Linked DNA regions of Bombyx mori. The protein of the gene in region 1 purifies or fractionates together with the protein of each later gene. This does not show direct contact. Links are inferred from orthologs where the notes say so. Each region holds a gene or a part of one and is shown on either strand. Other genes may lie near its edges.

The links. Proteins that work in one complex are often made in the same cells at the same time.
Region 2: the proteins of protein lin-54 homolog (region 1) and protein lin-37 homolog purify together in Homo sapiens (affinity purification with mass spectrometry; 4 studies listed by BioGRID and IntAct, counting the BioPlex papers as one, with this or other methods). This does not show direct contact. The link is inferred for Bombyx mori from reciprocal best matches to the Homo sapiens genes LIN54 and LIN37.

What each region holds. Positions count from the first base shown.
Region 1 is NC_085109.1:10,706,959-10,714,510, forward strand, and holds part of protein lin-54 homolog, read right to left. Parts: intron 6,890-7,552; coding exon 6,754-6,889; intron 5,668-6,753; coding exon 5,582-5,667; intron 4,769-5,581; coding exon 4,643-4,768; intron 3,662-4,642; coding exon 3,433-3,661; intron 2,851-3,432; coding exon 2,738-2,850; intron 2,582-2,737; coding exon 2,509-2,581; intron 1,870-2,508; coding exon 1,745-1,869; intron 844-1,744; coding exon 768-843; intron 306-767; coding exon 223-305; intron 97-222; coding exon 19-96; intron 1-18. UniProt on the Homo sapiens protein: Component of the DREAM complex, a multiprotein complex that can both act as a transcription activator or repressor depending on the context. In G0 phase, the complex binds to more than 800 promoters and is required for repression of E2F target genes.
Region 2 is NC_085114.1:15,045,785-15,053,436, forward strand, and holds the start of protein lin-37 homolog, read right to left. Parts: upstream 3,967-7,652; 5' UTR 3,805-3,966; coding exon 3,723-3,804; intron 3,673-3,722; exon of another isoform or gene 3,651-3,672; intron 3,264-3,650; coding exon 3,155-3,263; intron 2,165-3,154; coding exon 1,967-2,164; intron 1,635-1,966; coding exon 1,499-1,634; intron 517-1,498; coding exon 374-516; intron 170-373; coding exon 160-169; 3' UTR 2-159; coding exon of another isoform or gene 1-1. Other genes in the region: wibg (partner of Y14 and mago), read left to right, coding at 4,514-4,550, 4,900-5,169, 6,639-6,907.

The DNA of each region.
Region 1 (7,552 bases):
CAAAAGAATAACACTTACGCCTTTACCCGGTACGTTGATTTGATGCAGTTGCGTCCGCTGCCCTCCTTGCAGAATGACATTACCATCTTTTGTAATCTATCAACATAAATTTTACTTAACAATATACTCTATTCCTTTTGTACAATATAACACAAAGAATAGTGTAATAGAGTGTATCGTTTTAATAATGAAATAATACAATAACGTAAATTGTTAACTCACTTGTCCAGTCTTTGATGGCGCTGTGGTCTTTAGGATCACATTCTGGTTAGGATTTGCCGATATGAAAACTTTTTTCGTTGAACCTACAATACAATACAAACATGTTTTTATTTTTATTGCATAGATGCGTGGACGAGCTCAGTGCCCACCTGGTGTCAAGTGGTGACCGGAGCCCATAGACAGCTACAACGTAAATGCCGTTACCCATCTTGAGATATGAGTTCTAAGATCTCAGTATAGATACAACGGCTGCTCCAGCCTTCAAACCGCAACGCATTATTGCTTCACGGCAGAAATAGGCAGAGCGGTTGTACCTACCCGCGCGGACTCACAAGAGGTTCTACCACCAGTAAAAGTTTCAAAGATACATTAAAAAAATGGGTATCTGGCCACGATTGGTTGGAGCTGGTTTAAATGGGACATGAAGAAGACAACAAAGTTGATCTACGAAGTCTTATTATAATTATATTTCCATAATTATATATGTAATTTGGGAATGATTTCATAAAGTTCCATCATTAAGTTAATATCTTGATTTCAAGTACCTTTTTGTGGAGACGACTTCACGGCAATAATTTGCTGCTTCTTAACTCCTTGCTTAGTGGGAGAGGACAGCAAAACCTAAATATGCAGTAACTAATTTATCGAAAACATTACATACTATTTGGTAATAAAAAACAGAATTATATTTAAGCAAAATACTGAATTAAGAACAAAGTATTCAACACAGGTATTGGATTATGTATTTCTTTACCATCCAAGTACAGTCCGCGCGCGAGCTCCGAGGATTCGGGGGCTGAGGAAGCGGGCGGGCGTGCACCGCGCCCGACCGTCGCTTCATACCCCGCACTCTCCCAGTACTAGTGTCGACCTTAATGTGAGAGTACGCTTACCGACTCGTTGTTTTTAATTTTGCGATAGCAGTATTAATTACGTGTGATTTCTAATATAAATAGTTTTACACTTATAAGTATTTTTGTTTGCACAAATAGCTATTTAATTTGATGAAAAAGGAATGGCGAGCACTAGCATAATAAACATGTCTTAGCATTAGAGGAACATTACTGACAAAAGGATAGCTTAATGGAGGATGTTGTCGAATCATTTATTATTGAAGTACATAAAGAGAGTGTCAATAGTACATCAAATTCTTCAACTACTGATTAATCTGATTGCGAGAGTAATTAATAAGATTTCACGTTCATTTTGTTCAATAAGTATCAGTTCATTAAATTAAATTCATACGTGATCAATTGTTTTTATTTTATTTGAAGTACATAATACCCTCATAAAACTATTTTATAATTTACACTCGCACGGAGGCTTAAGTTGTGTGAGTATCGATAGCGCAATATCGACTAATTACAACACTAGCTCATTACGTCAACATTCCTTAAAAATCCTCGGAGCTCGCGAGCGGACTGTAAGTTTACCCCAGATACCATTAAAAGTTATTTATTGTAGAAGTGATACATGCTCCATCCAGTCAAAAGCCTGTATAAACTTATACCAAGAAGCTCACCTTATTTCCAATAGATATAGGGACGGTTTTCTGTTGCATCACGTACCGGGCGCCCGCGTTACTTGACGGCAACAACTTTGTTAGTACTGCCGGCTGATTACTTGTATCCGTGTTTGAGTGACCCGCTAAAAAGTAAATAGTTTTATTAATATATTGGAAATCCTCATCGCTTAAAGAATAACCGAAGAAACCTCGAGCCTCGTCGAATCGAACGATGCGATTGGGTGTTAAAATCCCGCACGCAGGTTTCTAAGAAATACTAAACAAATATTCACGAATTACTTCCACGGCGAAAGAGTAACATCGCGTAATCAAAATCAAACCTGTGTGCTTAGTGCGAGTTTTTTAACATTCTCAATAGCGTAAAAGTTAGCTCATATTTGTATGAAATGGGATCGTTTGCCTACGTTTGCCGCTAGGGGCGCTGTTCCAACTACATGCAAAATTGGGTTAACTTTTTCGCTATCGAGAACGTTAAAAAACTCGCACTAAGCACGCTGTAATAAATATTTTTTTTTTTTATTCCCTTAGTAGGTAGGCAGATGAGCGTACAGCCCAACTGATGACGGTGAGTGGTTACCGCAATGCCAGAGCCGACTTCAGCAATGCCAGAGGCAAAAATCATAATTTGCGTGATTACTATCTGCTGAATTGGAAATAACAGATATTTTACTGTTCAAACGTGAAGCACGATTTCTTCGCAGTGGACTTAATCAGAGGGTAACAGTTAAGTCAGCGCGTGAGTGGAGGTGACGAGCGCTTACCTTGCACTACGACCTTAGCCACTAAAGGCTTAGCTTGAGTTGTTCCGGCGGCCTTTGCTGGTGTTAACTGTGCCTGAAACGGTAACATATATTTAATGTATAAAATATATATTTTGACCAACAAACCTTTTTTATTATTAGAAGCAATCAAGTTGATTTGTATGAAACCTTTTTGTTACAACTCTGATAGTGGTACATGCAATAGGATCCAGGAAACGGCCATAAGTACCTGATCAGAATTAGCTCGTACATATTGGAGAGTGGCACCTGATCCGGCAGACACCAGCTTAATTTTCTGTGCTCCTTCAGCTGGTACCATAACTAACTGCTTACCAATTTGAGCTAGAAATAGAAAACATTTTTTATTGGAAACTTCCGTGAACAAACTTACCGCACACCTTCTGTTAAGTGGTTACCATATCCCAAAGATACAACGTGAATGTCGCCTGGTTGAAAGACAAGGTGGAAGACTAAGCCTTATTGTTTAGTCTGTCCCACTGCTCAAAGCAAAAGGCAGAAATGTGCAGCACGGTGTTCTCTGCCCAATTGAGTTTACAATACGCTCTACCATCAGTAATTACGTGAATTTTGCGAGTTTCATCTTTATTACATGGACTAATTCCTTCAACATAGAAATCATTTGTTCCCATATGTTAAGTATATAGGTATTTCATTTGTCCGCCCGCAAAATTGGATACGAGGAACACACCGGATGTCTTATCATTTATGTCACGACACTCACAACTCATGTTTTAGAAGTTTAACTGACTTCAATAAAGAAGTCCATAGGTTTTTTGTGTGATTTTAACAATACCACTTACTAATTAAATTCCTACCCACATATCAAATTAATCATCAGTTATATTGAAATGAATATGAATACTGAATGGTAATTAAAAAATTATATTCATAACAAAATCTCACCTAGTACAGCATTGCCTTTTGAGTTTGCTTGTACACCGGCTACTGAGACTTTTTTTGTATTTTTATTCATCACAAACGTAACAGGTTTCGGCGCGATGGCGTATTGCTTGCCCGGACCGAACGTGGTCTTCGGTTTGGTCGTCTGCGACAGGCGGGGCTTCGGCGCTATTGGCACTTGTCGCGGCATGCTGCTCACTTCTGGCTTTTTAGTGGGTTTCAAAGATGCGGACTGTAAAAAAGATTCATATATAGAATTTTCCCTTTTTTTTTTCTACCTAAGCTGAGAGCCTTGAGAGGCTATTTTAGCGTAACCTTAACTAGTAGGTAAGCTAACGAGGCTCAAACCTGACGACGTTGCTAACACGAACCCTAGCAAGAGCCGTGCTTCTCAGAATCTACCACCGGATCGGAAACGCGACCCACTGAGAAGATCCGGCGAGAAACTCAGTGGGCTGTGTCTGAGGGTTAATTTACTCGTCGAGCCCTTCGTCGCAAGCGACGGGTTCGACGAGGACGATGACCGGTGCTTGAGGTACCTAAAAGCACCGTTAGTGGATCGGGAGGATCCGAAATTACGTGTTTGATGCGACATCGACTGCTTTCCATTCTGTCCGCAGGATCGGGAATGTAGTTACCGGCGACCACGATGAAAGGGTTCTTGTGTCGTGCCGCTTTATCGAAGTTGGAATTTTCACCATTCAACTCCACAATATAGATTCTGCGAAGCACTGCTCTTTACTAGGGCCAGTGTTAGCAACACTCCCGGTTTAAGCCCCGTGAGCTCACCTACTAGTTCGGTGAATCTAGAATAACCCCTTGAGGTTACTATTTAGAATAGGTAGGAAGTTTTATAAAACCACAATATAGTAGTCAGATTCAAGGTGGTTTGCTCAATAATCAACTCTGTTTGATTCTAGAAACGCTTCTCAAACTTATGTATGATTTACGAAAAAAACGTAACGAGATTATTAGATTCTAGAAAGAGCATTAAACAAATCAAGGCTCATATACATTAGTTTCTCGGATACAAGAGATGATTGCAGTCTTTGATTATGTCATGATAGAATTTTTCGTACGATTATCGCCTTTAAAAGAGCACAGAATTATAAACACCCTGGCACTAGACGTTCGCTTTTGGAGTCGCAAATCTCGTAATTGGTGAAATCGACTAAATAACATGCTATTCATTCGAAAGTTTTTAATGAATTACCTTTAATAGAATGTATTTAGATTGTATGGTTATTTCTTTGGAAATGTTATCACTTTCCACTTTTAAGCTATCAAGATCTAAATTAAGATCCAACATTGTGTCTTGTGGTGTTATTATATTCATTTGCTGAAATTAATCCATAAATTTAATCTATAGTAGGCATTATTACATCACCAAAAACAAATACAATGCCATTTTACAATTGGGATGTCCGTCCCTAATTTAACAGATAAGACATCCATGTCCTATCAGGCATGAGATTATTCCATAGACAGCCCACAGAGTTCCTCCCCAGAGCTAGTGTTAGCAATTCTCTTAGGTTGAGCTTCTGAGCTCACTTTCCCTTCCGAGCGTAGTTGGGATAGCCCGGTAAGCTACCAGTGATTAGATAGAGAAAAATAATAGGATTGTATTGGTGATAGAAAGATACCACATTTTTTTTTGTATGTCTCCAAATGTGTATTCACGAGTAACTTAAAATAAAAGATAAATGCTTAATAAAATAAATCAGTTTTAGGAAAATTATTAACTCCGACATCAGTATACTGCCCACATTTATGCTGCAAATTAATGACAAGTTTCAGATAGAAGGCTCGGATAATCATTATTAAAATACAAATGAGATTTAATAATTTAATAAACTGGGTGATGGCAATGCTGATTTGTCGCCTCTCAGCTCCAATTTCATTCTATTGACATAACAATAGAGTTATTTATTGAATAAATGTGTCTGTAGTAATGGTAAACAACTCATTTACCATAATATTAAGCTATACACTAATCTCTGGCAAAACATTACTAGCTGTGATTACTAAAAAGCGAATAAATAGTTGAAATAATTCATTAAAAATTAACTATTACAAGTTAATTAACTAATTACATATTTATAACTTATAATATATATTATGGTTAAACATGAAAAAATGACAGCATATTTACGTTCAGCTCAATAGTCACTTCAGGTTCTGGAGTTTGATCATCTTGCACAGCATACTCCTGAAGCGAAAACTGGTCACCTGTAAAATCTGTAATTAATTTTGATTTATTGTACAAGATAAATAAATTATATTTGAAAAAATATATTTGATAATCGCAGACATTGTATATTGTACATTGTTATATTATACAATGGGTAATGAAATAATTGTTCAGCAACATTTTTTGGTGGCATTTTTTATTTATTTCCACAAATGTCAACAGCTCAAAATCCACCTGGTGTTAAGTGGTTACTGGAGCACATAAACATCCCCACGCGAATTGAGTCATGAGGTCTATGTCTTAATTACACATCGTCGCTGTCAAACCAAAATCTTCTATGTGCAAAAACTCTATTTTGAATTAACGAGTAAAAACATTTTCATATAAAATTTTATATTAAGGTGAATTTCTAAGAACTATATCAAATGAAAGCTATAGATAAATATTAAAGCTAACACACATAACAGTTTTTATAAGGTAGATAGGGCTGTGAACTATATGATAAAGTCAAAAAGTAAAAACCTCAAAAAGTGCACACTGCAGATTTTGGTTTGACTATGATGATATACAAAAGACACACGTTTTGGGGCAGAACTACATAGAGTGGTGGTACATACCTATGTGGCACCACCTTACCGACACTAATCAGTAAAGTATCTAGTGATAAACTGTGGTGTAAATTTTGGATTTTATTCTCAACTAAAGCAATAATATCAATAAATGAAAAAATTGTAAATGTAATATAAGCACAAAATTAAAATCAATATTACGGTGTCTGTGATTATTGTTGCAATTTGATCACTAACTAGTAATGATAATTTATGTCATTGCAAAATCTCATTCAATGGCACACATTTAGGGCTCATGATCACGTGTCTCTAAAGCTAGTGAGTTGGTGTTTTCATCTTCATAATAAGTCGCTCAGGGAATAATTGTGTGACTTCATTTATATAAAGCTTTTGGCATCTCAGGGAATGTTTTCATTATAGTTGAATCATGGTTTGAAACATAAATTGGAGGAATAGAAACAAATTCTGTTGTTTTGTGTTGTTCATTACTGGAGACTGCAGATATACTAATAACATTTTAATAATGTCATAGACTATAATTGATTTTTATCTAAGTTTTTTTACCAATGACTTCTTCCGTTCCTGCATCCATTAAAATTTGTTGTTCTTCAAAATCCATTGAGAGATCACCTGAGTGTTCATTTGCAGAGAGAGTCATATTATCTTGACTAACAACCACTCCGGCATTATCAAAATCCATCTAAAAACCCATTTCAAATATTGAAATTTCAAAAATGAAACACCATTCCTTCTTTAACTCTATTACACAAGATTCAAAATATCATAGCAGTAAATATGCTTATATTCTATCATTCTGTACTTTTTTTTATAAGTAACACTAAAATTACTTAAAAATAATATTTCTGTTAAAACAGCAATCACTTATATTAATATTTTACTCCTTGTAAAATGCTCTTTGAAATGTGCGTACTATGCACCTACTCATGTCAGACAGATTACTATCTCTGTTGTATGTGCATACTTCAATAAAATGGGTATGCATGCAATATGCATCCTGTTTTTATTTGAAAACTACTTCCAACTGTGAGAAAGCACCAGTAATACCTAGTGACTGATTCAATAATCAATGACTTGAATTACTAGCTTGGATGCTTTGCATTAAAAAAATTATTTGATTTTATTGCTTCTGTCAATCTTGTAAAGGTAAAACGCAAAATACTGTTAAATTGTTACCTTAATTAAATTAATTGAATGAGAATTATAAAACAGAAAGATAAAACTTACTCTATGAGCAGATTTTTTATTTATTTAAATGAGCAGATAAAATGAAAATGGCTAAAATGCTTTTTTATCACGTCACCACCTAGTGTGAGAAAGGTATTGAAGTTTCAATGGTAAGAGA
Region 2 (7,652 bases), on another chromosome or scaffold:
AAACATTTATTAAAAAATAAATCAATTATAAAAACTAAAAGTTTGTATTATTATCAAATAATTCACAATCATGATCAAATGATTAAAATCAAATATAATGTACCTTAAAAATAATTTTGCATTATGTTTTCATTTGTATATAATGTAGTATGAATACAGCTAAGTTGAACTGAAAATAAAATAAAGTTAAAATTAAATTATTTAATTATATTAACACTAAAATTGAAATAGCGCCAACTGGTATCAACGTGTGAATGGCGTATTCAAAATACTACATATTTTAGTAAACTGATCACAATGGCGCGTTCAGGCTTTCTATTAGTTTATTGAAAATCAAACATAGAGTAAGGGCAAAAAAAAAGTTTATACTCACTTAACGTTGATCTTGTTGAGAATTTTTTGCGTGGCTTCATATCTTGCTTCTGCTCGTGCGGATTGTTGTAACCAGGCTTCCCTCACTGCCGACCAGCGGGCTTGCAGTGAAGATAACAGCTGCTCCCGGCTTGGTGATGGTGTCTGATTATTGGGATTAATAAATAATATTATGAAATCTGACCAGCCTCAGATATGAAGCTGCGTGGGTGTTACCTCCACCCTGCGTATCTCTGACGCCAAGCAGTCATGCCTTATTGATTTTTATAGTGAGATGGTTATTATACTATACCATCTAGATCTAGACCACGAGTTTCAAGATCGCATTCACACTGAATCTATTGTCTTCAGTAACTGCTTATCACCAGACGTATTGTTGGTTTGTTCACTCGTCTCGGCAATAAGAACAGTTGAAATCATGTAAAGCTCTCAGTAATCTTACCCATGAGGCAATACAGTGTAGTGTTTATAGTTCACTTTAGACCTACAAAATTTGATGCTGTACAGAGAACCGAACTATTTCCAGGAAATTCGTCGTGGCCTAACAGATATGACGTCCGGTGCATTCGAGTTGAACCGATGCACCGGTGTTCGAATCCCAGACAGGTACCAATTTTTGTAATGAATTACGTACTCAACAAATGTTTACGTTTCACTTCCACGGTGAAGGAATAACATCGTGTAACAAAAATCAAACCCGCAAAATTATAATTTGCGTAATTACTGGTGGTAGGACCTCTTGTGAGTCCGCACGGGTAGGTACCACCACTCTATTTCTACCGTGAAGCAGTAATGCGTTTCGGTTTGAAGGGTGCGGCAGCTATTGTAACTATACTGAGATCTTACAACTTATATCTCAAGGTGAGTGGCGCATTTACGTTGTAGATGTATATGGGCTCCAGTAACCACTTAACGCCAGGTGGGCTGTGAGCTCGTCCACCCATCTAAAAAATAAATAAAAAAAATCTTCAATAATTAATAAAAAAAAATTATAAACAGAATAGAAAATGGTTTTGTTTTCCCTTTTGTATCTGAATAAATAAAGAAGAAAAATTTCTACATAAAAATACAGCATGTACAAAATATAAAATTACCTATTCTTACAAATTTTATATTTTAAACTTACATATTCAAGATCAATATTGTCCTTGTTGGCTGCCTTTTGTTCCGGCAACAACTCTGGTATCCTAGAGACTGGAGGTCCCTCTGGCCCTGGCAAGTCTATTGTCATAATATCCTCGTTGTCTTCAGGTTGATCATAACTAAAAAAAATATTTTGATTAAATTAATTAAAGTTTATTTTCATGAATCATACTTAATTATATTGAGACACAATAGGTTCGTGGTATTGGCAAAGTGGACAGAAAAATACCACGAGGTAGAGGCCCAGCACATTGGACTGACCAGATCTGTACTACTCTTGACACCACAGTCCATGATGCTCTACACTCGGTGGCTAATAGGAATAAATGGCTTAGAGTGATTCACAATAAACTCTTTGCAAATAAGTGATCACGATCCTCAGCATTGAGGAAACCGAAGCAAGGAGGATTACAAGATGATTAGCATTATTATTAAAAAAATATATAATTACCCAAATTTGCTGTAATCAGCTTTAGGTTGGTTTGCAATCCAGGCTCTGCAGATCGGATAGAGAGGGGAATCCTCATCAAACTGTGACAAGTCAACACTCCTATCGAACAGTTTGAGAACATATGACTGCCGCTGGGATTGTTTTTGTGAGTGAATATCTTCTTCTTCCGATACATAGGTTTCATCTTGATCTGATTGTCTGTGAAGGTGATTTCATATTCTGATTCTATCAATGTTTTAAATGAGAATGTTTGTGGGGATGGATAGACGTTTGTTAATCTTTGAAGTTAAAAGATTTTGATGTGACTTAACAATTTATAATCTTAATATATATAAATCATATGTTACATTGTTTGTCCGTGATAGACTCCTAAGCGACTTAACCGATTTTAAATTAAATTTGCACACCGTGTGCAGTTTGATCCAATTTGAAAGATAGGATGGTTTTTATTTCGATTAATGGTCGCAATATTTATTAATTAACAATAAAATGATTTCTTATGTTGATTTTTTTTATTAATTGAAGTTTCATAAATCTAAAACAGATGGCGCCTTAAATCGGTTGTCTGACATTATTATCTCATAGATGGCGCTATGTTAAAAATACCAAAGTTTCACATAAGCTACAATTTAATGGCACAAACACCACGTGTTGCTGAGGCTAAAGTTTAAGTAAAAATTATTTCGTAGTAAGCGCAATACAGTGAAATCCAATTGTTCTTACTTTGTCAATTTTTGATATTAGCATAGCCGGCCACGCGGCGTGTTATTTAGAAACAAAAACCTTAGCCACAGCAACGTGTGGCCGGGTCTGCTAGTAGCTTATATGTTAAAACCCTACATAGGCTATTGATGTTTACACAAATTTAGGTGTGAATACTGTAATGGTCTGTACTATATTGGTTAACTTTAGGAATCCTGTGTTACATTCATATACATTTATTCTGGTTATTAACCTGGCTAACTAAAATTGTCTTATAACAAAATCTAATTTTAGCTGGTCTACTTTTCTTCTGTTGTCATGATCTTAATCGTTGATGGTTGTGTCTAGTTTGATTTTTCATCAATCAACTATCATGACAAACTCCTCGAAGTCTCAATGGCCTCAGTCTTATTTATTAGCTTAAACTATATTAAATATAATGCAATTCTAGTTTAAAATGTATAATAGATATCTATGAATAAATACCTTCTTTTCCCTGGTGTAAGTTCAGTAGAGTCATCAGAATCCAATGCCGGTTCCAATATTTCCATTAACGCTCCCTGCAGCCTCCCTCGAGCAGTTGTCACCTCTTTTACTGTTTGTTTAAACAAAAAACATTAAAATATGTGATATACTATTTTCTTCAGTTTTTAAAAGATGTAATTGTAACTATTTTTTCGCTCTAATCACGCGTATCTTACTTTCACGACATTTTAAATACTTTGCATTTATCAGGATCTTCGACTACTAGCGTGTTAGTGATTTTATGATGACTGACATTATATATAATAAACTAGACGCGGGAATACAATAGATAATTATAGATACGAATCCGGTGTAAGCTTTGAATTTAAAACAGTTCAGCAAAAAAATTCGTTTTTAAATTAAGAATTTATATTCGATATTCAATATTCTGCATCTTTATTGAAGGAAACTCAAATCGAACATGGTCCTCCCCTAAGCTAAAAGTTTAACCACCAACCAACGAGACTACCATATCAGGAAAATTTTATATCCTACAATTGTGTATTAAAGTTCGTTATGTTGATCAAACCTTTATTAGAAATTTGAGGGAATTGCGTTATACTCTTTCCTTTGTTTTTGATTGGAGTGAAAATCCTTCTTCGTTTACGCATTTTTAAACCTGCTCCTTGAATCTATTTAAAATTAAAATAACTAAAATAATTAATCAAAACAAATGAGATGTGCACAGTATATTTAATTTGTTCTTTTTTAATTTGTATAAGGCCATTGGCTACTCTAACTTTGGGTCTACATTCGTGTTTTTTGTTGAATGCTGTTTTTTTTTTTGGAGAAATCTTGAAGTTACAAAAAGGATATAATATTATAGGATAAGTTAAAAAAGGTGACGATAGTGGATTTTAATATGTTTTTTTTTCATGTAAAAACTACTCATAAGTATTTAGACGAGAATTCTTGATATTTTCTCAAAAGTTAACTAAAATAGCAGTCAATTCTCATCTTACTAGCATACTATTTCCTTTAATTTTGTATCATATCATTTTATTTCAGATAAATTAATCTTATTTCTCATTTAACAAAGTATTTTAATGTATCTTTGAAATAATAAAATTAAACCATCAAACTCGACACGAGTAACGATGGCAGAGAAAGAAACCGAGTGCTATATATGTAAAAAGTAACAATCTATGGTCCCTCTGTTATGTGTCAAACAAAGCGGTTCAATATTTTATTTGTCAAAATAGTTTCTTGTGTGAATCTTGGTTTGACTGTGTAGAGTACCACGAAAATAGCTCATTATTTAAGAATACATTGCCGTGATTTATAAATGTTGAAATACAAATTGAAATCTTATGTATTATAATGTCAACACCAACGGCTTATGAGCACGACGCTGATGGTTAGTGTACAAAAAAATTCACGATTGAAGAATTTTCAAGCCTCACCGCTTTCTCTAGTAGTTTTCACATTAACCACGTTTCGTGTGATTGAAGATATTCGAATTAATTGATACAATACGATTTTTTTGTAAACATTAGAGTTTAACGTTTCACACAATAATTATAGGAAGAACTGTCCTTTAAATACTTGAATTTTTCATCCAAATATATTACCTATTATTGTTAATTAACAGTCTATTATATATTTCTAATCGAGCTTAACTTTTACTGATTTTCAAAGATAAAACTAATTACAAAAACTTTACAAAATTAATTTAAACTTAACTTTTAAAAATTTCAACATTCAAGGGAGTAAATTCATTCCTGCAACTCAAAGACCTGATGGAACCTGGCGCAAGCCGAGAAGAATAAAAGAAGGTTATGTACCTCAAGAAGAGGTACCGTTGTATGAAAGCAAAGGAAAACAGTTCAGGGCCAGGCAAAATGATGGACTTCCGGTTGGACTTACACCTGAGATTGTAGCTCAAGCACAAAAGAAGAAAGGTCAACGAAGCACTATCCAACCTATACCTGGAATGATTATAACTGTTGAAAAGAAGAAAAAGAAAAAGAAGACAGGTATAAAAAAAAACATTTTTTGTTGTTCCTGAAGCAAAATGGTACTTGGTGTAATATGTTATTACATCATCAAATGGTCATTGAGCTCATCTGCTTATCTATAGGGCTCATATATAATAAATGAAGCTTTGAGTCCTTACTGAATTAATATTTCATGAAAAAATTTAAGGTACTTTTCTGTGTGAGGTGACTTCTTTCTGGTCGTTCCCTCTATGCTGAGGATCATGACTGTATGTCAATCTCCTCCACTCGGTCCGGTTCTGCGCCATAAGTACCGCTTCCTGTATCTGGCCTCTAGTCACCTCCTTAAATTGGTCCACCCATCTAGCTGGTGCTCTTCCTCTAGCACGCTAGGTACTCTTAAATTACATAAAAGAAAATATTCCAGCACTTGCTAGATTCCTGCAGTAATATCACCCTGGCTATAGAAACTATCTAGAGCTTTGCTATATAATATTTTTAGAATAAAAAAACTTAAGGATGAAATGAGTAATAAATATGCTTTTTTTCTTATTTCGTTGGAAAAAATCATGCCCCACCTGGTGTTAAACGGTTACTGGAGCCCATAAACATCTACAACCTAAATACCACCAACCTTTTACAGTACAATGGCTGCCCCGCCCCACCTTTCAAAGCAAAATCTATTACTGCTTCACGACAAAAATAAACAGGGTGGTGTTATCTACCTGTGTACTCATGAGACGTCCTACCACCACTAATTATACAGATTATAATTTTATGGGTTTTATTTTTAATACACGATTTTACTCCATCACAGTGGAAGTCAATCATGAACATTTGTTATGTACTTATTTTACTAGAAAAAATGGTACCTGACTGCAGATTCCTACCCCATTGCATCGCTTGATACGAATGCACCGGGCTTCTTATCACTTAGGCCACAACAGCTTCATCAAGTGACAAAGAATATAGAAGGACACTTGACAGGGAGTTCAAACGCAGTTAAGGGAAATTAATCTAGTCAAAACAGCAACACATTGTCATGTTTATGAATAGCTTTCACAAATAAAGAATAAGACAGGGTAATCTTACAGAATAACTTTTGAGGAATAATTAGTATTAGGGATTTTAAGTTGCAGTCTCAAAAAGCTCAATAGCAATATTAGGAAGCATACTATCCTATTCATATTATAGAAGATTATTATTTTGCTGGCATACACGGCTGGTGAACATGAACGTTTAAGGCAATTTTTAGTAAATATGTAAACCTTAGCTTCCAAAAACATATTTAAAAAATGACAAGAGCTATCAAGCCGATAGTTCACAAAAATTTTGATACATTATTTTTAAAGATTCTTAATACTTTACCCATTTTAAATTTTTGAACTTAGTTACTTTATATTTTAAATGTAATCTTCAATCACACCACTAAAAATAACCAATATTATTGCAGTGAACATTTGGTTAGAGAATTTTGATTTTTATGAACTCTAAATTTTTAGTTACAGGTGTTGAAGAAGCTGCAGAAAAACTTGCCAAATGTGAAATACAAGAACCAACCGTACCTAGTCAGTCAGTACCGACTGAAAGTATATCTCAGTCTGATCCGACAAAACGCCTCAAGAATCTCAGAAAAAAGCTTAGAGAAATAGAGTTTCTAGAGGAAAAAATAAAAGCAGGGCTTCTTAAGAGCCCTGATAAAGATCAAAAAGAGAAAATGTCAAAAAAGAATGAAATTTTAAATGAAATTGACATTTTAGAGAATAGTATTCTATGATTTATTGCAATTCAAGATTTTATGAGACATTTGATTATCATGTTCTTGTTATGTGTGTGTCGTGGTGGATGTGCGAGTGAAATGTTTCTTTTTAATTATACAATATATTTACAACATTAATGTGTTTGAGTTATTTATTCGAATTGTCTCATAATTTTGTGCTCTGGATTACTAAGTCGTGTGGAGGTCTGAATGTGGGAAACGTAGAAGTTCCTATTTCCTGCACTATACTTTTTTGAAAATCATTTTGGAGACACGTGATATGTAAGATTAAAAAACAAAATAATTTAGTAATAAATGTATTATTAGTTAATATTCATTACATTTATATAATAACGAAACAGTAAATTAGTACTTTTAACTTATTCTATATAGCTTGGAAGTTTCTTGGATAGATGACAGGTATATGGGATGGAATGAGATATTTTTTTCCATATTCATTTATTCTAGACTTGCGTGTGCTGAAACAAGATGGCCTGAAAAAGATTAAAACATCACGTTCATATTTTTAAACTATTTTACTTGCTAATTAAAGCGGGTATTTGCGCAACTGGTTTTACAAAACAAAACTGGTTCATCAAGGCAAATTAAGGCTATGTCAATTACTTATTTGAATTGTGCAGATTAGAAAATTATAGATTCACTTACAAGTTTTGATGAACCTATATAAACTCGTTTCTCGCCCTTTGCCGTGCGTAATTACCCAAACAGGCTAAAATTCCTACAACGGCTATACCGATACCTA